Oreochromis niloticus: one gene and its partner. The protein of the gene in region 1 purifies or fractionates together with the protein of each later gene. This does not show direct contact. Links are inferred from orthologs where the notes say so. Each region holds a gene or a part of one and is shown on either strand. Other genes may lie near its edges.

Region 1 (16,476 bases):
CACTCTGACTCCCCATCACGGACGGATGGACGGACTTCCAGCCATCCATCCGTCCACCTGTCTGTCCTTCCCTCTAGCCCTCAATATATCCTTCCTTTCATCCTTCTATCCCTCCTTCCATCCTTCCATCCATCCTCCCACCTATCCTCTTCAGAAATCGGATCAACACAGCAGTGGGCTCAGCAAGTATTCCAGATGTTTCTTTACTAGCTTTACTTCCTGTTATCCAGAGCTGTTCCCAGGTCAGACAGAACGTCTAACGTTTCCATGTGTCTGTATGTTGTCAGTCGTCCAGGTCATGGTAATCTCAGGAGCTTGGAAAGAAGAGTGGGCTTCTTTGACGTTTCACTCTTTATCAATTCTAAAGAGAAGCTTCTCAGATGACAGCTGAAACGTCTTGAAGTAACTCAAAGAAGCCCGGTCGCTCTTCTTTTCAAGCTCCTTATACTATAATCTTTCCATCTAGTTCTGGATGGATCCGGTGGGGTTTCTGGGCATGGCTAAAACATTTCCAAAGAGAAGCATCCAGGAGGAACCCTGATCCTGATCAGATCTGATCTGAAACACCTCCTTGATTCTGAGATCCCTCAAAGTGCGGGTTCCTCACCCGATCTCTAAAGAGGAAGCTGTTTCTGCCACTTGGATGCCACAGCTCACAGTCACAATGGTAGAAATGTACATTTATACTCAAAGGGGAGCAACCAGCTGTTGCCCAGCAGGTCTGAAGTAGTCAGAACATCTGCGATGCTTTAAAAAACTTTGGGTTAGAGCATCTGTGAGCGACTGATGATGACCAGAAATCACTAAGCCAAGATGATGAACCAGCAGCCACAAAAGCTCCTTCAGAGCTCAGCTATAACAGTAACACCGCAGATACTTTAATCTTGACTTTCTTGATGTCTCTGATGATAGCAGATATCAGCTGATTTCCAAAATCTGCTGGATGTGCTTCATCAATGTCACCTACTACAGCACAGACAGGTTTGTGTTCACACACTGTTTTATATATATTTCGATTCGATGCCCTGACCTCCATCATGCTGAGCTCACTGATCACCAAACCAAGCCTCAAGCTGACTCACAGTGGCTCTCACGTCTGGTTCTTCCTCTGTTAAAGAAGATCTGACTGGATCACAAGTCAATGTGGAAACTTTGTTAACATCTTTCCACTGTGATGCGGTTGTTGTTGTCATAGCAACGACTTTAAATGGCAAAAACATTGGTGTTCAGCCATGCTTCCTTGGTGTGGTAGCACCCATGAGGAAACCCGTTTTGACTACCACAGAGACGTTTGACAGCAGCATCTAGTGGACATGAGAGGAACTGCAGTGCCTGTTTTCCCTCAGTGAATATATGCTGATGACACTTTTCTGTCAGAACGAGAAAAAGAGTCTTGGCACTCGTTCTTCAGACCTCTGCCCTCACCTCGGCTCAGGAGCCAGAGTGAGTCATCCACCAATCAGAAGGTCAGTGGTTGGGTCTGGGGTTCTGTAGCCAGAGTTTTCCCCAACTCATCATCAGAGTGTGAGTGTGTGAACGTAAGGTGAAAAGAGCTTATTTACCTCGAGCTCCTGGAAGTCTTCATCGTCGTCGATGTCATAGGACAGCCTGTGAATCTTTGCCTCCTCGCCAGAAAACTCCAGATACTTCCCATCAGTGAACAGCAGCACCTCCTTTGTGGAGGTGGGGGCGGCAGAAGAAGAGGAGGCTTCTGGTCCAAGTCCCTCGATGAAGGTGGTCTCACAGCAGTCGCCTCCCCCGGCCTCCCCCCAGGCCCGCAGGACACTCTCTGGGCACAGGAAGAGGCCGGGGGCCGGCCTGAGGCCAGGGTCTGGCACCCCATGGTGGGGTAGGAGAGTGCTGGGGTTCAGAAGCTGGGGAGGACCCCTGCTGTGCTCCTGCTGAGTGGAGGTGCTCATCACCACATGACCCTGATACTGAGGAGCAGAGTACACTGACAGCAGCGCCTCCTGGGGCTCCGCCCCCAGCCTGTGCGTGTTGATCAGGCCATTTTGTCTGCAGGATTCTCCTCCTCCTCTCTGTGAGACTCTCCCAAGCCCGGAGGAGGTTTCAGTCTCTTCTCCTCGGCTCTCCTCGTCTCCTCCACCTTCCATCTCTCCTCAGAACTCGTTTCCTCCTCGAGGGGTCTCTCAGAGAGGTCAGAGGTCAAGGGTCAGGCATTGTGGACTGAACTTTGCTGAAAAATAGAAAAAGAGAAGATAGAATAGAATAGAATAGCCCTTTGATGTCATTGTACAGGTGCTCCACACCAACTGTGACAGCAGGAATAAATACAAAATAAGATAGAGGCACACACTGGAGAACAAAGGAGGAAGTGCAACAAAAGGCGTTGGTCCGTGTGTGACGGGCCTGTCCTGCTGTCCTCACAGGCAGAAATATCCTCACAGCACGGACACATGCACCCGTGTGATGTGTGTTTGCAAATGTGGTGTGTGTGTGTGTGTGTGTGTGTGTGTGTGTTAGAGGATTCACCTGCTGAGCTGCATCCTGCATCCCATGAGATGCCTCGATAAACACCTGAGGTCCTTTTATGTTTTGGCAGGAAACCATCAGCAGGAGGACAGTCTGACATACGGGGACATGTCTGCACTGCTGTGTTTGCGGCTTCATATTTGGACCTGATGATGGTCTGTTTGGAATATGTGACGTCAGCAGCGTGTGTGAAACCTTAAACACCTGAAGCACCTGGTATATTAGAGCTCTAATAAAGGATTTCGTGCCTCGGCCCTCCCTCCATACAGTCGTCAGATATTGTGGTGTTTCCTGCTGGTGCTTCCTTGGCTGTGGTGTTGGAGGTGTTCCTGACGTTTTTGGTGTATTTGTGACTCTTTGAGCTGAAACATCAAATAATCCACAGCACATTAATAATAAAGCTCATCTTCAAAGCTGCGCCCCCACCATCACCACCAACAGGCGCACGTGCATGGACACCGCGCACACGCACGTGCACGGATGTTTACAGAAAAAACCTCATCGTAGACCCGAATACCGACACTCACCGGCTCTGACGTCAGCACGGTGATAGCCACACGCGCACACACACAAACACGCGCACATACTCACCTCCCAAGGTGAGACACGAGAGCCGTTCATCCACCCATCTGCGCATCCAGGCGTGACAGCGACCCCCGCGGCTGTCCCGCAGCCGCTCTGGGTGCGCTCTGAGCGGGCTGAGAAGCGGCGGGGTCCCGATGCGAAGCTCCGGATTTCCAAAACAGCCGTAAGAGGAGAGAGGCAGGCGGGCAGGCAGGTGTCCGTCTGCTCCGAGAATGATTCTCCTGCAGAGAGGAGGTGGAGAGGAGGAGGAGGAGAGAGGAGGCATGTGCGCTGAATACAGAGGAGGTGTGTGTCAGCAGAGACTTCTTCCACAGGGTCCTAAAGCCCCTCACATCAAGCGAATGACGAATTGAATAAATCGTCCTTGAAAACGTCCAGGTTTGGACTCGTGAAGTCAGACCCGCTGAACAATCGCATGTTTGCTCGGACTTAGAACTGGTTTTAGTTTGGAGTTGATCCTGATCTGCATCCACGAATTTCTCAAAGAATTCAGAAATTCAATTAATGTTGAATTTTGGACATCAGATCTTCTTTTGTTTTTAGCTGGGAGACATCGTCCTGATGTTCTAATATTACAAACCGAATCTGTTCCAGATCTCCTTCTGCAATCAGTTCATGCAGGAAGTTTATGATGTCTCAGCTCCACCTGCTGCTTTTCATGCAGAAACAATCTTGTAGAGACTAAACAAAATATAAACGAGGGAAGAGTCAAGAGAGAGAATGTCAGGGTGAGATATTCCATCAGGCGTCATGGAAACAGGACATTTTAAAGTGAACCACACTTTCTGTCATAAACACTCTTCAGACAGAGTACACTCACTAAACCTTCATCAGGTCCCATTAAACCTGGTATGAGTGATGGTTTGATTTTATCAGTGTGTCACATCACTGTGGACGAGGAACTCACAGCTCGTCTGAGCGGTTTGCTTTTTGTGCGTCAGATGTGCAAACATCTCCACTGTGCTGTGGTTTGTTCCAGACGTCTGGTGGTTTGTGCAGTTAGGACTCTGCAGACCTAGCAGAGCTGCCATGAGAGAGGAGGCATCAGGTCATCAATGCATCCGATCAGGTCGTCAGTGCATCCGATCAGGTCGTCAGCGCATCCGATCAGGTCGTCAATGCATCCGATCAGTTCATCAATGCATCCGATCAGGTCGTCAATGAGTCTGATCAGGTCATCAGTGCATCCGATCAGGTCATCAATGCATCCGATCAGTTCATCAATGCATCCGATCAGGTCGTCAGTGCATCCGATCTGGTTGTCAATGAGTCTGATCAGGTCATCAGTGCATCCGATCAGTTCATCAGTGCATCCGATCAGGTCGTCAGTGCATCCGATCTGGTTGTCAATGAGTCTGATCAGGTCATCAGTGCATCCGATCAGGTCGTCAGTGCATCCGATCAGGTTGTCAGTGCATCCGATCAGGTCGTCAATGCAGCCGATCTGGTTGTCAATCAGTCTGATCAGGTCATCAGTGCATCCGATCAGGTCGTCAGTGCATCCGATCTGGTTGTCAATGAGTCTGATCAGGTCATCAGTGCATCCGATCAGGTCGTCAGTGCATCCGATCAGGTTGTCAGTGCATCCGATCAGTGCATCCGATCAGGTCGTCAATGCATCCAATCAGGTCGTCAATGCATCCGATCAGTTCATCAGTGCATCCGATCTGGTTGTCAATGAGTCTGATCAGGTCGTCAGTGCATCCGATCAGGTTGTCAGTGCATCCGATCAGGTCGTCAATACATCCAATCAGGTCGTCAATGCATCCGATCAGGTCATCAGTGCATCCGATCAGGTCGTCAATGAGTCTGATCAGGTCATCAGTGCATCCGATCAGGTCGTCAATGAGTCTGATCAGGTCATCAGTGCATCCGATCTGGTTGTCAATGAGTCTGATCAGGTCATCAGTGCATCCGATCAGGTCATCAGTGCATCCGATCAGGTTGTCAGTGCATCTGATCAGGTCGTCAATGCATCCGATCTGGTTGTCAATGAGTCTGATCAGGTCATCAGTGCATCCGATCAGGTCGTCAATGCATCCAATCAGGTCGTCAATGCATCCGATCAGGTCATCAGTGCATCCGATCAGGTCGTCAATGCATCTGATCTGGTTATCAATGAGTCCGATCAGGTAATCAATGCAGCTGATCAGCTGCTGCTGCCGAGCAGAAGAATAACGGCGCTTCCCCTGGGGGCGGAGTCAGGTTTCCACGCAGTTGTTAATTCATTAACATCGGTGTTATAGAGCTTAGGTTGGATTTGAGCTCTTAGGACCTGCTGGAGCCCCACCCACCTGATGTTTGTGAGGGGTAGCCAGTCAGAGGTAAGCTGTGTGGAAAATGGGGAGGAGTTAAATATCTCGCTTCAGACAGAGGATGCAGAGAGGCTGGTGTCAGGTAAAGAAGGATTATTCTGAACAGGGACTCATGCACAGCTGCTTTCAGAGAGTCCAGGAACAGACCACACGTTACCATCAGGAGGGAGGAGGTAACGGAGGGGAGATCAGGATGAAGCAGAGAATTTTGGAGGAGGCTGAGGAAAAAAACGTCAAACATCTGAGTGAGAAGAACTTGTCAAAGCAGAAGAATAAGCTCCAAAATAAATTCATGGATAGTAACCGAAACTAAACAGGATGTAGGGTGCGCTGTACGCAATGATGGAGTCCTCATTTCCTGTTATCCTGCTCCACCCACACCACCTTTTTTGAAAAGCATGCAGGAGTGTTTTTGTGTGTTTTACTGTGTAAGATTTAACCTCATGTTGAATATGAGCTGCACAAAAGGGAAGTGCTGAAGCAGCTTAATGGTAAAAGTGCCTTCAGTGATCCACACATCACAACATCAGGTCACTCCTGCAGAGGGAAACATAAATCAGCACAAATGAAAAATGCTGCATCCCCTTCACGCTCACTGCAGACCTGCACAGCTTCATCCACCTCACAGGTCCAGGGCAGATCTGACAGACGCAGCACTCCTCCTGTCAGACCACACTCAGGGCCCACCGTCACACCTTCACGCTGAGGTCTGAATGTTGGAAACAAAATGAAAAAATCAGATTTTGTCTTGAATTTACTCATTTTTATCTTCATGACTCAAAATTCTTTAGAACCAGATTTCCAGCTGAGTCCAAACTTCCTTTCCTGTTTTCATTCTTCGGTTAGTTTCGGTTAGTAGGGGAAAGTACCACAGCTGTGGAAGACCTCCTGTGTGGTACCGGTACCAAAGACCTCCCATCCCAAGGACCTCAGCAGCTACAGGCCGGTAGCCCTGACATCACATCTGATGAAGACCCTCAAGAGGTTGGTTCTAAACCATCTGCGCCCCCTGGTGAGGTCTTCATTGGATCCGCTGTAGTTTGCTTACCAGCCTGGCATTGGGGTGGAGGACGCCATCATCTACCTCCTGCACCGAGCTCTGACTCACCTGGAGAAGCCTGGAAGCACTGTGAAGATCACGTTCTTTGATTTCTCCAGTGCTTTCAACACCATCCAGCCACGACTTCTGAGAGACCAGCTGGAGCTATCGGGAGTGGACCACCACATGTCCCAGTGGATACTGGACTACCTCACAGAACGCCCACAGTATGTGAGGTCACAGGGCTGTGTCTCTGACACACTGGTCTGCAGTACGGGGGCCCCACAGGGAACTGTGCTGGCACCGTTCCTCTTCACCCTCTACACTGCAGACTTCTCCATCAACTCCCCACGCTGCCACCTACAGAAGTTCTCTGACGACTCTGCCATAGTCGGCCTCATCACAGGTGAGGACGACTCAGAGTACAGACAGTGGACTCTGGACTTTGTAGACTGGTGTCAGCAGAACCACCTGCTGATCAATGCCGGGAAAACCAAGGAGTTGGTGGTGGACTTCTGGAGACGCAGACCCACCACACTGACACCGGTGAACATCCAGGGAGTGGACATTGAGATAGTGGACTCTTATAGGTACCTGGGTGTTCACCTGAATAATAAACTGGACTGGAGCCACAACACTGATGCTCTTTACAGGAAGGGTCAGAGCAGACTCTACCTGCTGAGGCGGCTGAGGTCATTTGGAGTACAGGGAGCGCTTTTAAAGACCTTCTATGACTCTGTGGTTGCATCTGTCAGTTTTTACAGTGTTGTATGTTGGAGCAGCAGTTTATCGGCAGCTGAGAGGAAGAGGTTGGATAAACTAATCAGGAAGGCCAGCTCTGTTCTGGGATGCACCCTGGACCCAGTGCAGGTGGTGGGAGACAGAAGGACTCTGGCCAAAATAACATCTCTGATGGACAGAGTCTCCCACCCCATGCATGGAAATGTTGCTGAACTGCAGAGCTCCTTCAGTGAGAGACTGCTGCATCCTCAATGCATGAAGGAGCGTTTCCGCAGGTCCTTCCTCCCTGCAGCTGTCAGACTGTACAATCAGAACTGCTCCCAACAATCACAGATGTTTACATCAGTGCTGTAACTGCAATAAGTTAATCAACCGATTTGCACTACAACCTGGTTTGCCTCTTATCTGTAGTTATTTTTATTTAATTTAATAACTGTACAGTACTCTGTTTATAGTAACCATTGTCCTTAATGTAAATATGTAAGAAAAATTGTGTATGTTTCTGTTCTGTGTCCTGTGTACTGTTTGTTTGTATATGTGTCTTTTTGGCTGCTGTTACAACCAAATTTCCCCTTGTGGGACAATTAAAGGATTATTCTATTCTATTCTATTCCCTAGTTCCTGCTGCAGTTCACAGATTAAACGTCAGCGCCCCCTGCAGCTGTGGACGCTTTACTGCAGCACACACACCTGTGAGCCTCCAGGCGCTCCTCCCTGCAGACTCTGGAGCAAGGCTGAAGGGAAAGCATCAGATAGTGAAAAATGAAGAAAATGCAAGAAATTAAAAACTGATATTTAATCTTTAATCAGCGTGAAATGGGATGCTCATACATCCGGCAGGCCGGGGTGGTTGTGACGGAGGAGGACGCCGGGACAGGAGGAGTAGCTGCTGTCTGTAACTCAGAGAACAGAACACTTTTGTTTTTGGAGCTTTCCTCTCCAAACAGCAATAATAATATTAATGTGCAAGGGTTAGACAGACAAAAATATCACCTGTACCTGACCCTCTGCGGTTACACCCTTACTTACACCTGTCTGTTACACGTACCTATTTGTTGCACCTGTGTACCTGTTAGTTACACCTGTACAGACCTCTCTGATGTTTTCGCCTTCCCTGTTGGACTCGTTGGGCTGATGTCCCACTGCCGTTCAGCGGGGGGCGCGCTGCTCAATCAACCGTAGTTTTGAACCCAGCGAAGAAGAAAAGTGTCGGCGCGTGCGTCGAAGAAGAGGCCGTTAGTGACGCTGTTCCTGTCACAGTGCGCAAATGCGCATCCAGGAGTGCAGAACTCTGGCTGAGAGCGAGCAGAGCCACACCGGCAGGCTGAAAAACGAAACCTTAGGAAGGAAGCGAAAACAGCGCTCCAGGGGGGGCACTCAGAGCGGGGGGGAGGCCTGTGACGCAGCAGGTAAGCCGGACTTACCTGACACTCGGCTGGTCCTCCGGTCCGGGCCGTGGATGCCCGCGGAGCCGCTTTCCTGCCGGAGGCCCTCCGTTCACATCCACAGCCCACCCCGAGCCGCCCTGAGAGCGGCGCACCAAACTCCATTCAAAAAACTGCCAATTCAGAACAAACGCTCCGCAGAGAGCAGAAACACGCGCAGTCCCGTCCGTGTCTGAGACGTGTGGCGAGCCTGTCGGAGGCTCGCTTCGCTTCGGCACACTGATACTGAGGTTCAGATGGCAGGCTATCGCCACCAGGGCTCAGTCAGGAACTGTTGGCTCGTCCTCTGAAGTTTGTCTGAGGTGACGATGATGCAGAGAGCGGAAGACTGGATGTAGACTTCATTATAACTTGTGTTTAAAAACGGGAAGTTGGAGGCGCCGAATTTACTAGAATATTCTATAGAGCAAAAAAGAGTGAGTTAGTCTGATCAGCGAGCTGTTTAAAGTTAAATGGAGCTGCTTCTTTTTTTTTTTTACATGGGCTTTGGTGTGACGTTTTGAGCGCTCCGTCCATATGGCTCACCATGAGTAAAAGTTGGCTGGTTAGGTGTGATGGGTAGTTAGCTGGCATGTTAACCAACAAAGCGTGCCGCAGCTTTGACAAAGTGCGTACAAAGCGCAGATTTTTGCGGTTAAAGGTGAAACTAACTGCGGCAGCGAACTAGCCTTAGCAGCCATGTTAGCTTGTTGCGTTCAGATAAAAATAAAAAAAAAAAAAAAATCAAGGGCCCAACTAATTCCTGAATCTACAGGACTGTCAGTGAGCTGATGCAATGAAAAGTCACTTTGACTTCATTAATGACACTGCGCTAAAGGCAGGGCAGCGGCGAGCACAGGTGACTCCAGAAATTACTCTCCTTCTTACCCAAGTTTTAGACGTAGCCCGCTGAAGCTAGTAGCCGTTAGAGCGCACGCTCAGCTGACAGCGGGGAGACGCACCGGGATCGTCCCAGGGCCGAAACACAGCTGCAGCTGGAAACCAGCCGACTTTGTGCTTCCACCAAACTCCTGTCAGAAATCCACAAATTTTGCCCTGACATCAAACTAGTGTCACATCTGTTTTATTTCACACCAGCATCCACTCGGAGTTGTGGTCATCTTAGAGTGATCTTCTCTATACCCAGCTCCAGTCACATCTGCAGAGTTCACCCCATCACCAAAGTCCAGTTAGTTTGATTTCTGCATATTCTTCAGAATCCAGTAAGAAATGTGCAGATTTGACCGCTGACATCACACTACAGTCACATGTCTGTGTTACTTGTCGTTATGCCAGAGCTCCATTCAGTTTCTGGTCATTTTAGTTATTTTCACGATTTTCTTTGGGTTGATCAGCTTTTCTGTTTTTTTTTCTCTTTCTCAACAAAAACGGAGTTATACTTCAGGTGATGTCATGTTCTCGTGGCCTCCTGATGAAACATCAGTCAGATTCTGGTTAATTTTAGAGTTTGTTTATATGAGAAGTCACAGAAGACCTGCTGGTTGTACACTGCTTTAACTCTAACACCAAACTCCAGTTAAATGTTTGATCATTTTCGAATACAATAAAACTGTTACATGACTTTATTCCCGCCACAAAAGTACAGTTAAAATTTGAAGTATTTCTCTTTGGGTCTGCATGTTTTACTCTTTCACTTTCACTTCAGAAGTTCTCCTCCTTCACACACATGTTCAGTCAGAGTAATTGTTTTAAAGAGAGGAACCGAAAGAATAACGATTCTAAAATCTGCAGATTTCTGACTGGAGTTTGGTTTGGAGATCATCGGTTGCCACTTTCCTCAAAGTCCAGTCCCATTTTTGGTAAAGTAAGTTTACTGAAACATAAATAAGCGCACTTCTTCTCTTTGAATGACCACTTCTCCTTTTCTGGCTCCTCCCATCAGTGACCATGGTTGGCGAACGCCGCAATGGGAACCTGCTGGTCCAGCTCGGCCCGAAGCTGCAGGCGTATCCCGAGGAGCTGATTCGACAGCGGCGCACCCACGATGGCCAGACGGAATACCTGATTCGCTGGTGCCTCATCGCCATTGACGATGGCTCCAGCTCTGGAGGTGGTGCCAGCGAAGTGGGCGGGACGGTTGGCGTCAGCTCCGGGGTGGGCGGGTCCGTGAGCACTGTGTCTGGAGAATCCAAACCGGAAAACATCCTGATGTGGATGTCGACAGAGGATGTGTACGCCAACTGTCCCACACTGCTGGGCAAGAGGAAGACGGACTCCCAGCGCCCCCTGCAGCAGGAGAAGCAGCGTGGCGGCGAGGCTTCCGACTCGGGCATTTCAAGCGGCACAGAGTTCCCGTCCGACGTCACCTTTGACGAGGTGGAGCTGTCGGACATGAAGGAAGACGTGAAGAACCTGGTGTGCCGAGCCCGAAAGCAGATGGCCAAGAAGAGCGACTTCTCCATCAACATCATGCACACCATCCACGTGTTGAGCGCCTACGCCAGCATCGGCTCGCTCGTCGGCGTCTTTAAGGAGACAGGCGCGCTCAACCTGCTGATGGAGCTGCTGTGCAACAAGGAGACGCAGACGAGGCGAAGCGCCGGGAAGATGCTGCGTGCGCTCGCCTCACACGACGCAGGTAAGCAGCGCATCTTTAAACCACGCTGTGATCGGATACAGGGCTTAGTTCCCCCCCCCGGTGGGCTGTGATGATACTGCAGGCTTGTTTTAGAGTCCTCAGGTGGATTAGGCGCCATTATTCTTTTACATTCTCAGCGGTAGTTGAACAGAATTAACAGCTGGAGCTGCTGTGGGAGATAAAATCATCAGAATATTAAAAAAGGTCAGACTGGATCTTCTGCCTGTGTGCCGGTCAGTTGTGTTTTAAGGGTTGGGTGGGTGGCGGCGGCGTTCTGGAGTTTCAGTGATGAATGAAATGGGAAGTGAAGCGTGAGGACCGATCAGAGTAATGACATCTGCGCGCTATGCGTCACACCTGTTTGTGCTGAGTACCATCAGCTGATAGACCGAGGCAACACCGCCTCCTCCTCCCAACTCGCTCTAAAATGTGGCGTAAAATATAAAACTACTACTTTGACCAGCTGGCCAATAGGATTAGAGGGGTGTTTTTCAGTGGGTTTGGTCTTTGATACACGACATGAGCTCGGCGCGGTCGGCGGTGTGCTCCAGTGCTGCATCAGCGTTCAGGTGTTGGCGATTGGCCAGCGTGTGAGAACGATCGTGAATCGGGGGAGGAAGCGTTTTCCGACGGGGAGAATGTCCAGTCAGAGGCGGTCATGACGGGTGGACTAAAGTTTTTAGCTCGTGAACCCTCAGATAGCCTGACATCATGTCACCGTGGCAACAGAAATGTTCAGCTGACTCGAGAAAAAACAGGGCGAGCCCTCGCGTACAGGAAGTTCAGAGTGCTGTGTCACCGCGGTCGGCCGTTTGAGGCGTGCAGGCCGAGGTTAGCAGAATGATCAAAGGCAGAAGCGTGAAGCTGACGTTAGGACGCTGAGATCGTGGTTGCCTTAAGATTTAGATCTGGACTTTGGAGAAGCCGCCTGAGCGTCGAGGGGTGATGACTCAAACCTTTAAACGGGCCTCAGGCGTGCAGGGACAGCAGCCATGTTTACATGCCACAAAGCCATGGAGGAGTTTGATTCCTGCTTGGAGAAGCAACACTGCTCCTCCACGTCATAGCTGGAATCGGAGCAGAAGAAGAAAGTTTCACGTTTTCACGCTCTGAGAATCTCTGAACTCCCGTACTGATGGAGGTGGAGGAGGGAGTCCCGGCATAGACTGCTCCCTCTGAAACAGTCGGTGACATCAACGCCTGTCACATGATCAGTACTCTGATAGAACGGTGCTGATGATTAATAATCAATAAGTTGTGATCATGCTCTTTCTCAGTAATGTTCCAGTTACTGATGGTAATCACAGCAGCGTGAAGCCGAACAGGCACTGGAGCTTTTTGATGGAGAAACTGTTTTATCTCTGTCTACATCCGCCTTGTTAAAGTGTGCATCCTGTCACGCTCGTTACAGCTCGGTCCAGAAACGCACTCGTCGGTGCAGGCAGCCAATCAGCAGCAGCTCCACACTCGGGCTAAAATGAGCGTTTTTATGAATGGACTCTGGTGGCTTTCAACAGAGGTCCACATCTGAATGTGTCTAAAACTTTGATTCTTTCAGGTTTATTCTGTCCGTGTTCAGCTGCTTGACGTCTCGTAAAGCTCCGCCTCATTCGTTCGTCTTCACCTCAGAGCTGAGAGCTTTGAGCGCTAATGCGGGTCGAGCGTGATGCCGCGTTTACTCTGACATGGTCTGAAAAAAATCAGTTAATCAATAATTTGATCAGATGTTTTAAGTCCTTGTTAAACACTGCCTCCACCCTCCTGGCTCCGCCCCCTGCTGATAGTGTAAAGGACAGGTGTCGAACTCCAGGCCTCGAGGGCCGGTGTCCTGCAGGTTTTAGATGTGTCCTTGATCCAAGCTGATTTAAATGGCTAAATGACCTCCACAACATGTCTTGTAGTTCTCCAGAGGCCTGGGAATGAACTAATCATGTGATTCAGGTGTGTTGACCCAGGGTGAGATCTAAAACCTGCAGGACACCGGCCCTCGAGTCCTGGAGTTCGACACCCCTGGTGTAAATGGTTTAAAGTATAAATGTGTGCTTATGGGCTAGCGCCTCCTGGAACGACTATTGATCTGTTATTGAGTGGTGTCAGGTGCTGAGGGCGTGTCCTGCTGTGTCGCACGCAGGCAGCCGGGCATACGTGCTGCTGTCTCTGAGCCAGCAGGACGGCATTGAGCAGCACATGGACTTCGATAACCGCTACACGCTGCTGGAGCTGTTCGCCGAGACCACGTCGTCCGAGGAGCACGGCATCTCCTTCGAGGGCATTCACCTGCCGCAGGTAAGACTCGTTTCTTTATGTTGTCAGAGGTGTGCCTGTGTCGCCCCGCCCAGCAGGGGGCGCCGCTGCAGTAAACCTGTTTGACTGTGTGTGTTCAGATTCCCGGGAAGCTGCTCTTCTCCCTGGTGAAGCGTTACCTGTGCGTCACGTCTCTGATGGACAAGCTCAACACAGCGGGGGCGGAGTCAGGCTCTGAAAAGCTGGACACCTGCCCTTCTCCCGCCTCTTCCTCCAGCAGCTCCGCTCACCAGACGGAGCAGCTCCGCATCCAGCGGGAGTTTGACTTCACCATGGCCATGGCCAACCTGATCTCGGAGCTGGTCCGAGTGATGGGCTGGGACCGTAACCGCCAACCGCTTGATGGCTCCGCCCACCTCACGGGAGGTGTGGCTGGCGTGGAGGCTCAGGGGGAGGAGGCTTCCCGCCCTGTCCTCAGGTCCATTTTTCAGCCTCGATTCTGCGCCTCCCCTGTTGCTCTAACCACCAGCTCCGGTGGCGCGGCCCCCGCCGCCACACCACCAAAGAAGAAAGCAAATGGTTTCAAGACACGCTCGGACTTCACCTGCCGCTCCGCCTACGTGGAGTACGTCCAGGACAACCTGAAGAGCGGCATGATGGTCCGCATGCTGGAGGACTATGAGGAGGTGAGCGCTGGCGACGAAGGAGAGTTTCGCTATAGCAACGACGGCTCGCCACCCGTACAGGTGAGGAAACCCGTATAGGTGGGCTGAAGTAGGGGGTGGGGCTTCATGCAGGTGTAGAGAAAGATTTGGCTGTCAGAGTAGAGCGCACAAACATTAAATGGAAACACAAGTTGTAGCACACTACAGGAAATCGCCAGCAGAGGGTAGCGAGCACAGGTAACCAGCGCTCAGTGAACACCATCAGAGTGTAGCTACTGAACGCCAGCTGGTGGAGGAGAAACATGGACGAAGCTGTGAGCAGTGTTAGCCCCTCCCCCCAACACACACAGTCAGCTGATTTTTATTTACAGTGACATGTTACCTTCATGCTGTGAATACTTTCAGAATAAAAGCCCTCAGAGTACACGGAGGTGCGTCCACATTTGGTGCTCTTATTTTTGAGTCCTTAACTTAATGAGTTAGAAACTGCACTCAGATCAGCGTGACTCAGAGCCTGCCTCTGACCCGCTCTCTGCTGTGTTCAGGTGTACTGGAACTCCCTGTCCAGGACTTACTGGGTCCACTGGCACATGGTGGAGATTCTGGGCAGCGGCAGCAGCAGTCAGGCCGAGAAGGAGACGCAGGAGAAGGCCTCCTCTCTGACCGAGACGCTCAAACTCTCATCAGGTAAGAGCCGAGCGCTGTCTGCTGCTCCTTTGCTTTCCTCCGCAGTCTGAGCACGTCTCTTCTTCTCTCAGTGAGCCAGACCTTCTTCTTGAAGCCTCCGGGCGGTCTCTACTCTCTGCCCTACCTGTCCGAGGGTCTGAACACGGAGCCGGTCACTCTGAGCAGAGCCGAGTGGTGGGAGATCCTCTTCTTTATCAAGAAACTGGAGCCGAAGCAGCAGCAGGAGGTCAACGGCGTCCTGCTGCAGAGCCTCGATGACCAGGTAGGAGACGCCTTCGTCTCTTGGGTTTAAAGTCAGAGCGCGGGGAGGCGGATCATTGCGGTGAGAGGATCTGACCGTCAGCCGCCTGTGGCGTAAGCGTGCCGCTACATCACCTTATGTCCTTTGATAAGAGTCGCTGCACGTGTGCAGCTTGTTGGACCAATTAGATCACGAGAAGCTGAAATATCCTCTGAAAATAAAAATCAAAGTCTGCAGAGTTTATCGCAGCGACGGTGAGCGAGGGGTTCATGGCCCTGGTCAGTGCACCTCCCAGTCACATGGTACAAATAAACCTGAGTCTGAGCGCGGGACGGCGGCCGCCTGGCTTGTCTACGTTGAGCGGTGAAATATGATCCGGGTTTGTGGTTTGAACAGCCTGACTGTCACCACATCTGTCCTTAGGAGGCGGAGCTGGACGACTCGTCTCTCATTGGCCTGTCAGTGCCCGGAGACGTGGCCAAGAAGCTGCTGCACTACCTGAAGCAGAAACTGCCGTCATCGTGCCTTGGCGACCTGCTGTGTTCCCACGCCTTCACCAAACATTACCTGAAGAGAGGCGGAGCCAGCCTGGAGGACGAAGAGCTGCTGGGTGAGAAAACAAACAACACGCCTCCCGTAAGGCGTGTCCTCGACACACCCTTGTCTCACTGTGCTCGTTTGTGCGTCTCTACAGCTGAAAGCTCGTCCGGGCTGGGTGGAGGTAGCGGAGGAGGGCAGGGCTTCTCGTCTGCCTCGACCTCCTCGTCTTCAGCGATGGGCTCCGTCTCCAAGAAGGCCAAGAAAGAGCTTCCAGTGGATTCGGGCTGCTGCAGCTCGGAGACGGAGAGCGAGCTGCCCACAGAGGACGTCAGCAAATACCCCGACGACCTGGAGGACAAGATGAAAGGTGGGGGCGGGGCCTGTTCCAGACTCGTTTCAGGTATCAGAGCGAGCTGTTACTCACCTGTGCTCTCTTCCTGCAGTGTTTAACAACCCGCGGGTGCAGGGCAAGAAGACGGTGCTGGAGAAGCTGGGGGAGGTTGTGGACGTCCTAAAGAAGGGTGGTTCGGGCTCAGACCACGCCCAACAGCTCGCCGCTGTCCTCTTCCTCACCCGGCTGGTGGAGGGGGCGCAGGAGAAGAACGCCACGAGGAGCGACTCAGCCCAGACCGTACGGTGAGACGCCGCCAAGCGGTTTCCTGTGTCATCCCGATGTTAACCTTCACCCTCGGTATGTGAGTGGAGTCTCGTCACAAACGTGGTCAAATTGCCTTATTTCTTTGTGGCGTTACCATAAAACCTTGATCTGCTGCACTGGCGGGCGCTGGTTGTGATGGTGTTTGGCAGGAAGTAGAAGGTGACGGCATGTTTCTCTCATAGGGACAAAGTGCTGAAGCTTCTGGTGGAGCTGCTCGGCTCCGCCTCCAAAGACGTGGTCGTCAG
Region 2 (15,900 bases), on another chromosome or scaffold:
GGGACTCAGAGGATGTAGAGTGGAGATTTTTTTTTATTGATTTATTTCATGTTCTTTCAGTAATAAAACCAGTAAATATAATGTTATACAAAAATGATTGTGTGAAGGAAGGTGACAACTGACCTGGTTTTCCTTGAGCACAGACACCTGCTTTTGCAGAGATATGTTCTCTTCCTCTAGCTCCCCATTGTCTTGCAACTGGCGCAGCTCACGTACTTTATATTCCTTTATTTCATCCCTCAGGTGGCCCTTCTCTGCCTCAAGACATTCACACTCCTGTGGGAGACAATCCACGATAAAATCAGTGCAAATGACCGCTTAACATGCTTAACTGTCAATTACATATCATATATAGTTAATTATTGAATGAGGCTAGAGAACTAATATTTTCTCTATAGGGATTTAATTTTTATTTGTATTTATCACGAGAAGAGGGAGCCTGGTAATATACACAGTAACAACGGTATACAGGTGTACTGAATGAGTACACCATACCTTCTTCAGCTGGGTGGAGAGCACCCCAAGTCTATCAATCTCTGCGTGGGCATTGCCCAGAGCAAGGCGTGCTTGCTTCAGCTCTGTCTGAACTTCCTCTATGCGCGTTGCCATGGCAGCCTCTTTACTGGCAGTCTCTTGTAGCAGGCTCTCCTCCCGGCACTCTCCATCAGCAGCTGCACGTTTCTGGCTGCTCACAGAATCTGCAAATGCCTTTACACAAACAAAAACTGATAAGGAAAGATACAAAACACTATTTGACACACTATTGTGTTACACATTGGGGGAAAAAAAAAAAAATCACTTGCAGAACTGACCCATATCGTTATAAAGATAAGAAATGTAAACAATTTAAACAAAGGAGGGGAAATTGCACTTCCCTGTCAGTTTTCAGTGGACATAAATCACCTGAGACCTGACTGCAATGAGGAAATAGCTGATATGGTTCTGTAACCTTAGACCTTCACAGCAACCTCCACAACATTTTTGCAGATCTATTTGTTTTGCCAATATTATACTATGACCCTAATACATTACAGTTATCTAGTAATAATATGCATTTCTTCACAGCGTGCCACAATCACAAACCTTGACGCACACTATGCGCCAATAAGTGCTAATGAAAGAAAGATCACATAAGGGGTTTAATGAAACAAACAAGCTACTAAACATGCCTAAATGAACACTAATACTATGGTTACACAATGACCAGCACAGGAGTTCAACCCGGCCAAAACCTAAATGGGTAAATAGCCAAAAAGAAAGGAGGTTTACACTGATTATAAAGATAGCTGAAATCAGAACCAGTATAGCACTTGAATTTATATGGCATTATAAAGCATCCCTGCTGACCACTTTTACTGTTATTTTTACAGATGAACTGATTAATATCAGTAACTATCTGTAAGAAGGATTTTTATTTTTTTATTTTTCCCCTTTTAATTTGAACAGGCAGATAGAATAACTGCAAAATCAGAAATCTGCCCACATGACCGGACTTAGTTTTATAGGATTAGTTTCTTACATAAATCAGTATTTAAAAGCCTGTTCCAGTAATACCAAATACCTTTGTGGGTCTATAAGTATTTGTGACAAAATTTACATTAGGAAACAATATTAACCCTTTATACCTGAATTTAGCAGTAAGCATGACCCATCTATATATGTATAATACAGGAATATATTCATTTTCATGTTATTTGCTCAACAAAAACACCACTGCTTAAGTAAATGAAAAGCTAATAAACAAACTTGTTAAAACATTCTTAATATGCTAATTATACTTCAGTGTTTTGCATGGAGACAACACTGCATTAATCAGTTATTTTAGCATGAAATTCAGTGGCAATATGAAAGTGGGGTCTAATATAGTTCTTATACCTTTAAAATTGAGATTCAAACGATCTAGTAAATATGGTCAAGTCAGTATTACTGCACAATGGTTATTTACTTAAAAAAAAAAAAATGAGGAAAGTGCATTGTTTAGAATATGAAAACCCTATTTCAATGCATCTATGAAAGGCATGGTTTATACACAATCTGAGCTTTGCTGTATTGCCCTGATCTTTTTATCGTGAATATCCTGCTCTGACCTTATTAAATCCTTAATGCTTTAACATAACGAATCAAAATCAGCTTAATACAGTGGCTTGCAAAAGTATTCGGCCCCCTTGAACTTTTCCACATTTTGTCACATTACGGCCACAAACATGAATCAATTTTATTGGAATTCCACGTGAAAGACCAATACAAAATGGTGTACACTTGAGAAGTGGAACGAAAATCATACATGATTCCAAACATTTTTTACAAATAAATAACTGAAAAGTGGGGTGTGCGTAATTATTCAGCCCCCTTTGGTCTGAGTGCAGTCAGTTGCCCATAGACATTGCCTGATGAGTGCTAATGACTAAATAGAGTGCACCTGTGTGTAATCTAATGTCAGTACAAATACAGCTGCTCTGTGACGGCCTCAGAGGTTGTCTAAGAGAATATTGGGAGCAACAACACCATGAAGTCCAAAGAACACACCAGACAGGTCAGGGATAAAGTTATTGAGAAATTTAAAGCAGGCTTAGGCTACAAAAAGATTTCCCAAACCTTGAACATCCCACGGAGCACTGTTCAAGCGATCATTCAGAAATGGAAGGAGTATGGCACAACTGTAAACCTACCAAGACAAGGCCGTCCACCTAAACTCACAGGCCGAACAAGGAGAGCGCTGATCAGAAATGCAGCCAAGAGGCCCATGGTGACTCTGGACGAGCTGCAGAGATTTACAGCTCAGGTGGGGAAATCTGTCCATAGGACAACTATTAGTCGTGCACTGCACAAAGTTGGCCTTTATGGAAGAGTGGCAAGAAGAAAGCCATTGTTAACAGAAGTTCTGTTTGCAGTTTGCCACAAGCCATGTGGGGGACACAGCAAACATGTGGAAGAAGGTGCTCTGGTCAGATGAGACCAAAATGGAACTTTTTGGCCAAAATGCAAAACGCCATGTGTGGCGGAAAACTAACACTGCACATCACTCTGAACACACCATCCCCACTGTCAAATATGATTGTGGCAGCATCATGCTCTGGGGGTGCTTCTCTTCAGCAGGGACAGGGAAGCTGGTCAGAGTTGATGGGAAGATGGATGGAGCCAAATACAGGGCAATCTTGGAAGAAAACCTCTTGGAGTCTGCAAAAGACTTGAGACTGGGGCGGAGGTTCACCTTCCAGCAGGACAACGACCCTAAACATAAAGCCAGGGCAACAATGGAATGGTTTAAAACAAAATATATCCATGTGTTAGAATGGCCCAGTCAAAGTCCAGATCTAAATCCAATCGAGAATCTGTGGCAAGATCTGAAAGCTGCTGTTCACAAACGCTGTCCATCTAATCTGACTGAGCTGGAGCTGTTTTGCAAAGAAGAATGGGCAAGGATTTCAGTCTCTACATGTGCAAAGCTGGTAGAGACAAACCCTAAAAGACTGGCAGCTGTAATTGCAGCAAAAGGTGGTTCTACAAAGTATTGACTCAGGGGGCTGAATAATTACGCACTCCCCACTTTTCAGTTATTTATTTGTAAAAAATGTTTGGAATCATGTATGATTTTTGTTCCACTTCTCAAGTGTACACCACTTTGTATTGGTCTTTCATGTGGAATTCCAATAAAATTGATTCATGTTTGTGGCTGTAATGTGACAAAATGTGGGAAAGTTCAAGGGGGCCGAATACTTTTGCAAGCCACTGTATAGACATCCAAATTAACATATGTTAATAGCAACATGCTGACTAACTGGATGCGAAAACGTCATAGTCAGTTAACACTCTTCTCCTGCCAACGTCAAATGACATGTGAGGCAAACCTGACTCAACATGTGATCACAAGACAAGACATTCAAAGTATAATATTAGGTCACAGCTGTAACAGAGCTGTTACTGTTTTATCAGAAAGTGAGAGCTACAAAAAGACAATGACGGGATGAACAGGCAAATTCATGACATAGTCCACTGGCACGTGTAAAAAAACCTCAACAATGGTATCTTTATAAGACTGCTAGACCGCAAGGCAGCTCCTCAACTATGAAAGATAAAATGAAAAAAAATTAGAGAGATTGTGCTTATATATAATAGCAGCAATTATGGTGTTGATGGCATTTAAATGATGCCTACCAATAATGTAAACACATTAAACCTGATAATTATAAAATACAATTTTTGTATGGTGTCTATTGTATCATGATTTTCATACCCTGCAAAAAATACAAGAGTTCTGTTTATTAGACCATTACTGTAAAAGCTGACAACAGGAAATGCATTTCATTGCGCACATGTTATTATATAAACAAAGATCACACAGCAAGTGTGTGATATAGGAAAACTGTACCTGGAAACCAGGGGAATGATGATCTCACAAGCCTACCAGGTAAATATATAAATGGACTGGTTTTTATATAGCACTTTTCCCAATCACACAAGCACTTTTTTCTATGCTTTTCCTATGTAAGTGCTTTCTATCTAACATTCACACAGATTCATACTCTGATGAATGCATCAGAGAGCGAGTTGGGGTTAGTATCTTGCCCAAGGATATTTGGCATGCAGACTGGAGAAGATAGGATTGACCCACCAACCGTCCAATTAGTATGTGACCTGCTCTACATCCTGAGCTACAGCCAGCACAAATATATAAATAAACAATCTAAAAAAAATAACATATGCCTTAGGTGCTCCTACCTCTTTGAGCTGTTGTAACTCCAATTTGAGAGATTCATGCTCTTCTTCTAGCTGTGTGTGTTTCATCTTGAGGGCAGCACTTTCCTCCAGCACCACCAGACCGTAGCGGGCTGCCTGTAGCTTTTCCTCTGTGGCCTCTTGAAGCTCGAGAGTCAACCGCATCACCTCAGCCTTCAAATCCCTGCTCCCCATCTCCGCTTCCTCTTCCCCCTCGGCCACTGCACCTGCTGGGTCTGCACCCGCCTCCAGCATCCTTACTTGGTCTCCTGCTTCTCTGCCAATGTTTTATTGAGACAACTGCCTCCTTCACTCCTCTGCTTTCATTACGCCACACCACTAAGGTAAAAGACAAAGAAAGTGGTTACGTAAAATACTTGGAGATAGAGGTTTTTGCATAAATTGTAGTGTGACACTAATGGAGTAAACTGTAAGGTTTAACTTTGGGATTAGTTTAATGGGATAAACGTTTTACTAAAGCTTTAAAGACCAGGAGAAAAATCCAAGAGATTAAATTAAGATCAAGTGCTGAAAGGGCTGCATTGTCAGCTAGAGTGCTTTCTGAATTTTATATTTTTGCACAATTGTCACACTTAAAGTTTTTCATATCATCAATTTCTAATATTGAGAAAGATAACCCAAATAAAATAAAATGCAGTTTGTTAATGCCGATTTCATTTATTAAGGGAAAAGCTCCTGGCCCAGTCGTAATGGTAACAGCCTCTTTTGGTAAATCATGAATTAACTGATTAATCAGCCTTGACTTGCTGCATAAAATAATCAGAACAGAACATGTCTGACAAAGTGAATTAGGAAAAGAGATCTGGTGAACCTTCCCCCAGGAGTGGTCATCCTACCAAAATTACTCCAAGAGTGCATCTTTTTGGCTGCTGTTACAACCAAATTTCCCCTTGTGGGACAATTAAAGGATTATTCTATTCTATTCTATTCTAAGAACAACATCTGAAGAACAGCATTCAACAATAAGAAAGAGGCTGGGCAAACTGGTATCTATGGGAGGGTTCCAAGATGAAAAACCATCAAAAAGGATACAAAGGCTCATCTTGAATTTGATCGAACCATGAATTCTGCTTTCTACCACAAAATTCTGAAGGAGACTATCTGACTATTAGGTCATGGTCCAGTATGGATTAAGAAAATAAAATGAAGGTTTTTGAGTGGCCTTAAGTCCAGTCTTAAATCTGATTGAGATGTTTTGGCATAACCTTAAACAGGCCACTCATGCTTGAAAATTACTCATTGTGGCTGAATTAAACAATTTCTGCAAAGAAGAGTGGCCAAAAATCCCTCCACAGTGATGTGAAAGACTCATTGCCAGTCACTGCAAATGCCTGATTGCAGTTCTTGCTGCCAAGTGTGGCACAGCCAGTTATTAGGTTTAGGAGGCAATTACTTTTTCACACAGGGACAGATAGGGTTGGATAGCTTTTCATAGCTGTTGCGCCTTAAAAAGCTAAATGATCATTTAAAAACTTCACTTTGCATTTACTCAGTTTTTTGAGGTCTAATACTAAAATGTGTGTGATCTGAAACATATAGGTCTGACAAATATACAAAAACATAAATTAAGAAACCGTTTTCACCGTATAAGAAATGATATAGGCCTAAAACAAACAAATGATTACTGAGGTCTCCTCACATCCCATAATTAACAAAAACAGGCTTAAACTTAAATGCAAGGGGATGCTGGTGCTATGCGAGTAGCATCGACCAGTCTTCATCTTTCACACTACGCAAATAACTGCTAAACACTTGAAACAGCTGCTACACGACCAAGGCGCGGAAACAACATGTGTTTACTTCGACCAGCCTGGGTGGGGCAGATTCCCCCGATTTCCTCGTGTCCTCTTGTCTGACCGAAGATGGAAACACCGGCCCGCTGGTCGTCCCTTGCCAAAGGATGTAGCTGCGAGTTAGTCATGAAACAAGCATCTGCTTCCTCTACGCCACGAACCAGTTCTCCGTGAACATAGACTAAGAGCTTGCAACTGAGAATATTCGCTACGTTTCAAAGTAAGAGGATATTAATCAGATAAAACACATATTGACGGCAGTCAAAGACCACAGTGGAGTGAAGTGGAAATATGAAACAACCAAAAACAGCTAGCAGCACCAGCTGATGCAGATAGTGAAACTGACTTTAGCTAGCTAGATAGCTTCTTAGCTTTGCAATTTCACCTACCTACATACCCCAACCGAACGGACGCCAACAGTCTAACCGATTAACTAACTAACGGGGTTGGAACACTGTCGTAACAGGAGCCGGATCCTATCAGGCAAGCTAATTAGCCGGACAGCCATCATTAGCCTACCTACATACTCACCCTATGGCTTTATCCCAAAGATGGCACTTGGTGGCTGCTCGCAAACGTTAGCCTTGCACCTCCTAATGGAGCTGTCTTTCTTAAAAGCAACGGTAGCTAATCACGAAACAACAGCCAGGGGTACCAACAGCGGCGGCAGCAGCAGTTTCCCTTCCTCCCACCAGTTCCTCCTCCCGTTTCTCCTCCCGAGGTCGAGTGTCAAACGCGCGCCGAAATCGCCAAGGCACGAGGACCCCCTCTAGCTTAGCAACGAGGCAATACAACCTCACTTAGAACCTTATTTTCATTATATGGATAGTTCGGGCCAGTTGTTTCTAACAGGGCGTGTTAGTTAAACGTTAAACCCTGAAAAAAATTTATATAAATAAATAAAGAAATAAAGAAAAGAAAAATTAGTAAGTGAATACACTTCCGGTCGTACCGTTCTTGCCTTCCGCTTTTCTTCCGGATGTGCACATTATTGTGGCTGTTTAGTTAGTTGCAGTGCTACACAATGAAGGTCGTTACTTGGAACATAAACGGCATCAGGGCTTTCAGAGGCGGCATTAAAAAGGCTCTTGATTCCCTGGACGCAGATGTTATCTGTATTCAGGAGACAAAAGTGACGCGTAAGTGATTAGCAATAGCTGGTTTAAAAACGCGGGAGCTGTCATCACGCAAGGCGACACAGTTAAAATGACTGTATGAAAATAAAAACGTTAACCCCTAATTTCTCCTCCACAGGAGACTTGCTAGATGAAAGGATTGCTATTGTCGACGGATACAACTCCTATTTCAGCTACAGCCGAGGGCGCAGTGGCTACTCAGGTTCAATACAAAGTTATAACAGTTCCTTTTGCGTCCGTGAGCCTTGAAAGTGTTTGGGTTTTTTTTCGTGCATTATCATCCAGTTATATTAAGTGTCCACATTCAAGAAAGTGCAGTCTTCTAAAATAAAATGCCACATTTATATTTTAATGAAAAGTTAAACATTTCCTCGTAAAACTGCATTACAAGCAATTCACCTCACATTGCCGATGTGCACAGGTGTTGCCACCTACTGTAAGGAAAGTGCCACTCCATTTGCTGCTGAGGAGGGCCTCACAGGTCTGCTGGTCAACCACAAAGATGCTGTTGGATGCTATGGTGACCACACTGAGTTTTCAAGTGAGGAGTTGCAGCTGTTGGACAATGAAGGCCGTGCTGTAATCACACAACACAAAATAAAGTGAGAGGAAATGTTATATGTTAAGGCTCCTGTTTTAAGTGTGATGCACTGCATATTTATCTGTTTACACATGGCACTTTAAAAACAAATAATCAGCAATTTTTATGTTTCTCTCCTCAAAATTGTCAGTTCTTCTCAGTTAGTGGGGAAATCCCACTGTGTGCTTGCCTTTTTGTTTGACTGAGTTTTATTTTATCCCAACAGATGTCAGGATAAAGAGAAAATCCTTACTGTTATTAACGTATACTGTCCGAGGGCTGACCCAGAAAAGCCGGAGCGAAAGCGGTTCAAACTACAGTTCTACAACTTACTTCAGAGTCGAGCTGAAGCTGTACTGAAAGATGGAAGGTGAGAAATTCATGTTTCACTGGCTGAGCAAAACATTGTCGTTACAAGAGTAGCAGGTGTATCCTGGTTTCGCCACAGATGTTTTTTTAAGGCACTGTGCTAATTTTGAACAACGCAGCTCTTCCAGTAAATCATTATTATGTCTTTGAGTTTTGGCAGTGGGCCCTATGTTTTGCTGTTTGTAAAATAAAGCCAAACACTATCTGGTGTTTATAATTTTATTGAATTGTAAGTTAGTACAGACAAAGCAGTATATTCGAAAACAGCTGCTTCTGCGTTTATGGTTATACACCTTTAGTTTAATAACATTTATATATATTCTGATAAAATCACAATTGTTGGACAGCAATGATGATGATGAGAAATATTTTATTTATTACATATTCCAGATTTTATTTAAAATTGTTCTTTAAATTCTACAAATGTATCGAGATAATGAGTTAATCTTTTTTCTGTTGTATTTTCCAGCCATGTGATTGTTTTAGGAGACATAAATACATCTCATAGACCAATAGACCACTGTGACCCTAGTGAAATTGTAAGTAAAATACTAATATATATATTTTTATATATATATGCTTTTTGATTCACATCAATCAACATTTTGAGAAGTAGGCTTTTTAAATATCTAGAATCCTGTGAAAAACTGCGAATAACAGCCTTACTGCTTCCATAGGATTTGAGACGGTAAATAGCAGCCAGCATCTTGATTAATGATTAATCAGAACGTTCGTCCAACTCTATCAAAGCACATGTTGTGGAAATTTGTTCGCCTGGGGCCTTCAGGTGTTTACACAATGTCTCAGCTTTCCCAGGAATGGCCATTCCAGTAAATTCACCCTCGTGTCAGAGCTTGCAAAGCTCAAAGAATTTGCAAAAACCCATGAGCTACACCAGACACTCAACAGGCTTCCTATAGAATCCTATTCTCTCTAAAACACAAACGTAACAGCACAACATGGGTTTATGTTGTAGTTCTGAACAAACCATAAGGCTTCTGAAACAGTGTCCTTCAGCACCACATGTGGAGAAAACCAAACACAGCGTATCAGCACAAACACCTCACACCAGCTGTCATCAGTGTGGTGGTGGAGGGGTGATGTTTTGGGCTTTTTAGCAGCCAGAACCTGTGCACCTGTCATTGAGTCGCCATGAACTCCTCTCTATATACCACTGTATGCCAGAGTCAAATGCAAGGTCACACATCTGACAGCTAAAGCCTGGCAAAAATTGGGGCTGTGATCCCGAGCATAGCAATAAATATATAACAGAATGGCTGAAAAAGAAAGAAAATCGAGCCATTTCAGTGGCCCAAAGTCCACACCTTAACCTAATTGGATTGCTGTGGTGTGACCTGAACACACCTCTGCATGAATGAATGCTCACAAACATCAATAAATTAAAGCAATACTGTAAAAATGATTGGACCAAAACTCCTCTACAACAATGTGAGAGACTAATAAAGCCATACATGAAGTTATTGCTGCCAAAGTTGGTTCTGTTGCTATTGTATCATGGGGTTTACATTTTCATTACTGTATTAAATTACACAAAAACAGGAAGTGGGGAAAGCCAACTTGTATAGCTTAGTCCAGACATATAAACCCCTCCCCCAAACCTTACATGCTACATGAAAAATGACTTCTACCTACAGTTTCCTATTTAATGAACAGACACAGTAGTGGGATCTGTCTCAGCAAGAAAGCAATTATCACCAAGTGAACTTAATGTAGAGGATTAAAATATTATTACATAAAATGGCAGATGTGTTGCTATATTATTATCCATAATAATGAAACTTTCATTATTTAGGATGATTTTGGTGAAAACCCTGGGAGGAAATGGCTGAATGGCTTTTTGCACCGTGGCAAACAGGAAGAAGAGAGCGATGAGGAGGAACATGACAAAGAATCCGAGGAAACAGATCCACTCCACGGTGGGAAATTTGTGGATACCTTTCGCTTTTTCCACCCAACTCGCATCAACGCCTTCACATGCTGGTCTACTCTCACTGGAGCTCGGCAGACCAACTATGGAACACGCATTGACTACATATTTGCTGACTGCCAGCTTGCCAAGGAGCAGTTTGTGGGAGCTGACATCATGCCAGAGGTGGAGGGTTCAGACCACTGCCCTGTCTGGGGGCAGCTGAGCTGTTCACTCATTTCTAGCCCAAAGCCTCCTCCCTTCTGTACTCGCTACCTGCCAGAGTTTGCAGGTAAACAGCAGAAACTCTCACGGTTCCTTGTTAAGGTGGACCAAAAGTCAGCCCAGTCTGAGCAGAAGAATGCTTTACCTGGTTCTCAAGAAGAGGAGGAAAGGAGAGAGAATTTAAATCCTTCTGGAGCTGCAAACATCTCTGGTAAAAAACGTTCATTGACATCTGACTCTGTTGCCCCAAAGGGAAAAAAAACTAAGACAGTAAATGCTTCTTCAAAGCCTCAGGGCAACCTCCTTGCCTTTTTTAAATCCAAAACCACAAACATTAACCAGTGTGAAAACCCACTAAATCTGGATGAAGCTGCCAAACCACCCATAACTGAAGAAGTGTTCTCTGTCACAGACACCAAATCTGAAGGTCCTGAGCTTATCTCTGACAATTTATCACAGCAGTGCTCCACAGCCAAAACTGACCAACATTTGAACACAAAACATTCACCCCCTCAGCCCACTGTAAGGCAGTCAGATGCAAAGAAAGGGACATCGTCAGTGTTTTGGAAGTCAGTGCTTCATGGACCACCTGCCCCGCCGTGCTGTAAGGTTCACGGAGAACCATGTGTTCTTCGTACTGTAAAAAAGGAGGGGCCAAACATGGGCAAACAGTTTTTTGTGTGTGCACGTCCTCAGGGACATGCTTCCAACCCTGAGGCTCGATGCAATTTCTTTGCATGGGTTGACAAAGTAAAGTGACATGTTTACATTAAGGTCCATCAATTTCAGCATAAACAATTGTTTTAACATTGCTTCATAGTTGTATGTTGTAGTAGTTGTATTTTTCTTTTTCCTATCAAAATAATAAAACACAGTAGTTTTATATTACTTCGAATTTGGTTCTATTTTTTGTAAATGCTGAAATAAGTGAGCAGATTAGATTTGCTCATTCATGTTCACTTGGTCAGCGAAACATTTGGGGTAAACAAATGTTTTCCTCCTTTTGGGCTGGTTCTTTCAGGAGTCACCGAACTGGATCATTTGCCTGAATCTCACCCTATTCCTAGCATGCTAACACCTAACACCACAGTCCTCTGTCTCTCTTGCTACCTCTGAACACTCCTTCCCCCACTGTTCCTCTTCTATCTTTGGCCATTGGCACCCAGCTTGTCAACAGCACTGGTATGGTAATGTTATGGAAGTCCTATTGATGAGCCACATCTTGGGTATGGCAAAAATCTTCCACTGGATGCCCTTCCTGACGCAACCCTTCCCACGTATCCAGGCTTGGGACTGGCACAATGGGTGTGCTGACTCTGGCTTATGGCTCCTCATGGGGTTTGTTGTTTTTCAAACAAAAATGTTAAATATTTTTAAGCTTCAGCTTCATCAATTTCAGGCTTATTAATTTTCCTTCCTTATATATGATTGCAAAAATAATTCTATTAATGCTTTTTGTTATGTTTTTTTTACAGTTGGTTGCACCAAACTATTAGAGCAAATTACCTTTGGGCAAAAGGAACTTTTACCTTTTTTCTATTAATTAATGAAAGACGAAAGTTGTAGTCCGACAGCTTCAGACAGGCCTGTGTATAAACAACATTTTAGTTTCTGTCACATAATATATATGTGATGTTTTAAGATGTTAGTTATTTTGATAAAAATATATAGACCAGCTGTTGGCCTTGCATTTGAATTTATTGAACAGATTCTTTTTTCTTTATGTTATTTTTTGTGCATTTAGGTTGGTGGTTAGCACTGTTACCTCACAGCAAGAAGGTCCTGGGTTCAAATCCAGGCTGGGGTCTTTCTGTGTGAAGTTTGCATGTTATCCAAATCTCTTTACCTTCCCCCAACTCTGACTCTCCTAACATAAAAAATATGTTTATACCCACTAGATGGCAACAGCAGTGAGAAGATGCATTGCTTGAAATGAAATGTAACTTTCCACTGAAGCACATGTTATTCACACTACCAGCTGCATGACCGTATTACAACAACTGTTATGCAGGCCAGGAAGTGGAGTATTTAAATTGGTGTCTGATGTATTTTTACTCCCAGTTTTAGGGTGCACAGTAGAAATATTACTTCAATATGGCAAACTGTTCCATAGGTTAAAAAAAAAGAAGAAGAAGTAGAAGAGAAAGTATCAATCTCGCCAATGTCCAAATACTACATAAAGTAACAGCACGTACCCTGATCAGTGTGGGAGTGCCTTCTGAGAGGAGGAAATTTCTTTACGCGCGCATTTGCTATCTCCCTTCTTCCCCCATTTTTTTTCCTCTGCTCTTAGAGCCAAAGAGGAGCTCATGACTCTGTGAAAAGCTGCTTTTGGACTTGAACCAAGCAAGTTTGAACTTTCATCCTGTTACTTTTTTCTGGACAGAATACATTCATCTTCTTTCTGACTGTAATTAGGTGAGTACAAAGACCGGAGACATGTGCTACACGTGAGCAGCACGACTTCCCATTCTAAGACGGCAAAAGATGTCTAGCAAGTTGCTATTATAGCTACTGAGGACTAGTATTCATTACAGAAACAAGAAAACAAAGAACATTTGCACATTTCTGCTTTAACCCTTCAGATGAGGTTGTATCTCTATTGTCATCTGCGCACATGTTGGTCGTTGTCGCAGCACAGAAGAAATTTAAATGACTAGATGAAATGAGAGATCATCTCGGCTGCAGATGCTTGCTTGACTTTTTGTTTCAGGAAACATAAAGTTAAATGCTCAGGGCATGATTTTATCAGCACAGATTGTCACCTCACGGAGCATTTTCTACATCAAATATGATAGTTGCCTAGAATAGTTGCTCCATTCGCTACAAAGATAACATTCACTGTATTTGTACACAGATTCATTACTTTCTTTTACTGTTCTGATCTTCTAACCACCTCTTTACTCTAAAAAGTAGTGACCTCATCTTTTTTATCCAGCTTTCTTAACATGCAAAAAACAAGTCTTTCAGAGATGTTAAAACATAGCTGTGTGCATCATAGCAAGATATGAACTTGTTTAATAGATATGTTCCAACATGTGTGTGTCTTGGTGAGATAAAGGAATGTGGGTGTTTCTTTGTGTGCAGCTAAAGCTTATATGTCAGTTACGTTGAATCTTATCACCCCAACTGAAACAGTTCTGAGAAGGAGATGACAATTTAGTTCTGGTAACACCTAGACCACATTCAAAGTATGTTTACTTTACTTCATTTAGGTGACATAGAGTGCTTAACAAATGTATTAGACTGCCTGTCATAAAAACATTTTTTAGAAATCTCTCAAAAAACTCCATAAAACTAAAAAGTTAGTGCTATTTATCAAGCATGTAACAAACTGAATTCACATTTTTATACCCAAATTTAACCTGGCACATTTAACTTCTCTGAAAAGTCTGAAATTAATCAAGCATTCAACCAAGCAAGCAATATTAAATCACAGACTTTTATCTGTTCAGTATTGTGAATAAATAACTGCAGTTTGGCACTTTTACTAAGAAAAAAAAGTGGTGTACTACTTTTCAGCTGTTTTGTAAAACAGTGAAATTTGAAAATTCACTAATAACAGCAATAATGGTATTTTAGCATTAAAAATATAATTTAGTTCTTAGAGCTTGTGCATACAGGTGGATTAACACATTACAGAAACACATTTTTTCTTTACATTTTAGTTTAGGTTAGTTTTCCTACGAAGCTTCCATTTGGTGGTAATCCAGTAAATTTGCTGATAGGGATGTCTTCTGTTATTGATGAAAGTGAAAATCTTCGCCTTTCTGAGGTGCTTTAGGTGCGTGAGAACCTTTTAAAAATCTGCGAATGTGTCATGTTTCATGACGTGCTCTTTTCCGGTGTAATGCTTGGATTCAGGTCTCAGGGTTTGTTTTCAATCAAGCGCACACACAACAAATCCACTCTTAAGCACCGCCACATGTGATCAGTCTTAAATAAGCACTTATCTCCTAAGCTAATTACAATCTGCATGACTTCCAGAGGGGAGGAAAACTGTTAGTGAATATCTGTTAAAGCTATAATAAAACCCATCTCAGATGACACCCACTTTTCTCCTTCTATTCTCTGCAATGACACGGCTGATCTTTTGTTTAAAGACCAGAAGCTCTTCTGAATAATAAGTATGTGGGATTAGTGGAAGGTTTGAAGTACTGACTTTCTGTGAAATCCACATGTGATTTATTGCCTTGTTATACCCAGTATTGTTCACACCATTCCACTGCAACCACCTGGTGAGAGGATCCCTACAAAGCCTCACCAACGTCAGCAGTACCTGTGTTGCTGGTTTAACAAAGGGTTAAGTATGGGTGTTCCCATTTCCTGCAGCTCTCCCTCCCAGCCTCACTAATCTCTCTCACTCTCTCCTCTCCTTACTACCAAGAAGATTTGGTGAGACTCCTAGGAACAAAGCTACATAAAAACACTAGAAGTCTGAAAATTGAATGAACCTACACAAGGATTTATTCTGTTAATATTCAGAAAAGAAACCTAGCTTTCTTTGGGAATCGCAAGGGTGAGTTGCAGCAAAAATGCGTGTGTCCTTTAAATGAGTTCCTTGTACATGTGAAAAGAAGGGAAGGGCTAACTGTCAATAGTGAGCTGGTCTTGCATCAGACAAAAGCCATGTGGTAACGCTGCTGGATAATAAGATACAGTAATATATATGTATGATCATGTTTAACTTGATATGTTTTGGTTTTTCTTATTGTAAAGATTGTCCATAGATGGTTTCATGTATCAGTTAAACATATTTAGTAATTACTAAAAAATGAACTCCCTGCAGAGGAGAAGCTTGGGTGTAAAATAAAAATAAGGACGAAAAACTCAGAAGTATTTTTTTCTCGTTATAAGCTTTTTCCCCACTCTGTGGAAAAGCGGCTCTGAGGGCCAGTGAAAACTGAAACGTGGAACAAGCAGCTGGTGCGCTGGGTTTCACTCACTCTTTTACAACAAGGCTTGTTGCAATAAAAAAAAAAAGTCTTTAAAATTTGAGTTAAAACTGTCTTTTGGTGGTAAGTCATAAACTCATTTAGACAAATTTTTGTTAAGTGAAAATACCAGAAATTGAACAGCTGGTTTTCCCCCACCATTTGAAAGCCTGTCCCTGACATTTAGTCGTTGCTTTGT

What was found.
Region 2: the proteins of cul9 (region 1) and apex2 purify together in Homo sapiens (affinity purification with mass spectrometry; 3 studies listed by BioGRID and IntAct, counting the BioPlex papers as one, with this or other methods). This does not show direct contact. The link is inferred for Oreochromis niloticus from reciprocal best matches to the Homo sapiens genes CUL9 and APEX2.

Annotation. Positions count from the first base shown.
Region 1 is NC_031978.2:2,307,856-2,324,331, forward strand, and holds the start of cul9 (cullin-9), read left to right. Parts: upstream 1-8,380; 5' UTR 8,381-8,440; coding exon 8,441-8,582; intron 8,583-9,689; exon of another isoform or gene 9,690-9,820; intron 9,821-10,349; exon of another isoform or gene 10,350-10,421; coding exon of another isoform or gene 10,422-10,422; intron 10,423-10,500; coding exon 10,501-11,196; intron 11,197-13,327; coding exon 13,328-13,482; intron 13,483-13,580; coding exon 13,581-14,186; intron 14,187-14,650; coding exon 14,651-14,792; intron 14,793-14,863; coding exon 14,864-15,054; intron 15,055-15,456; coding exon 15,457-15,643; intron 15,644-15,727; coding exon 15,728-15,940; intron 15,941-16,016; coding exon 16,017-16,209; intron 16,210-16,413; coding exon 16,414-16,476. Other genes in the region: uncharacterized protein syndig1, read right to left, coding at 2,167-2,855, 3,085-3,343. UniProt on the Homo sapiens protein: Core component of a Cul9-RING ubiquitin-protein ligase complex composed of CUL9 and RBX1. The CUL9-RBX1 complex mediates ubiquitination and subsequent degradation of BIRC5 and is required to maintain microtubule dynamics and genome integrity.
Region 2 is NC_031984.2:10,931,732-10,947,631, reverse strand, and holds apex2 (DNA-(apurinic or apyrimidinic site) endonuclease 2), read left to right. Parts: upstream 1-7,478; 5' UTR 7,479-7,554; coding exon 7,555-7,669; intron 7,670-7,784; coding exon 7,785-7,868; intron 7,869-8,087; coding exon 8,088-8,268; intron 8,269-8,472; coding exon 8,473-8,616; intron 8,617-9,084; coding exon 9,085-9,154; intron 9,155-10,428; coding exon 10,429-11,526; 3' UTR 11,527-11,655; downstream 11,656-15,900. Other genes in the region: zgc:162200 (protein bicaudal D homolog 2), read right to left, coding at 124-276, 496-708, 4,720-4,971. UniProt on the Homo sapiens protein: Functions as a weak apurinic/apyrimidinic (AP) endodeoxyribonuclease in the DNA base excision repair (BER) pathway of DNA lesions induced by oxidative and alkylating agents.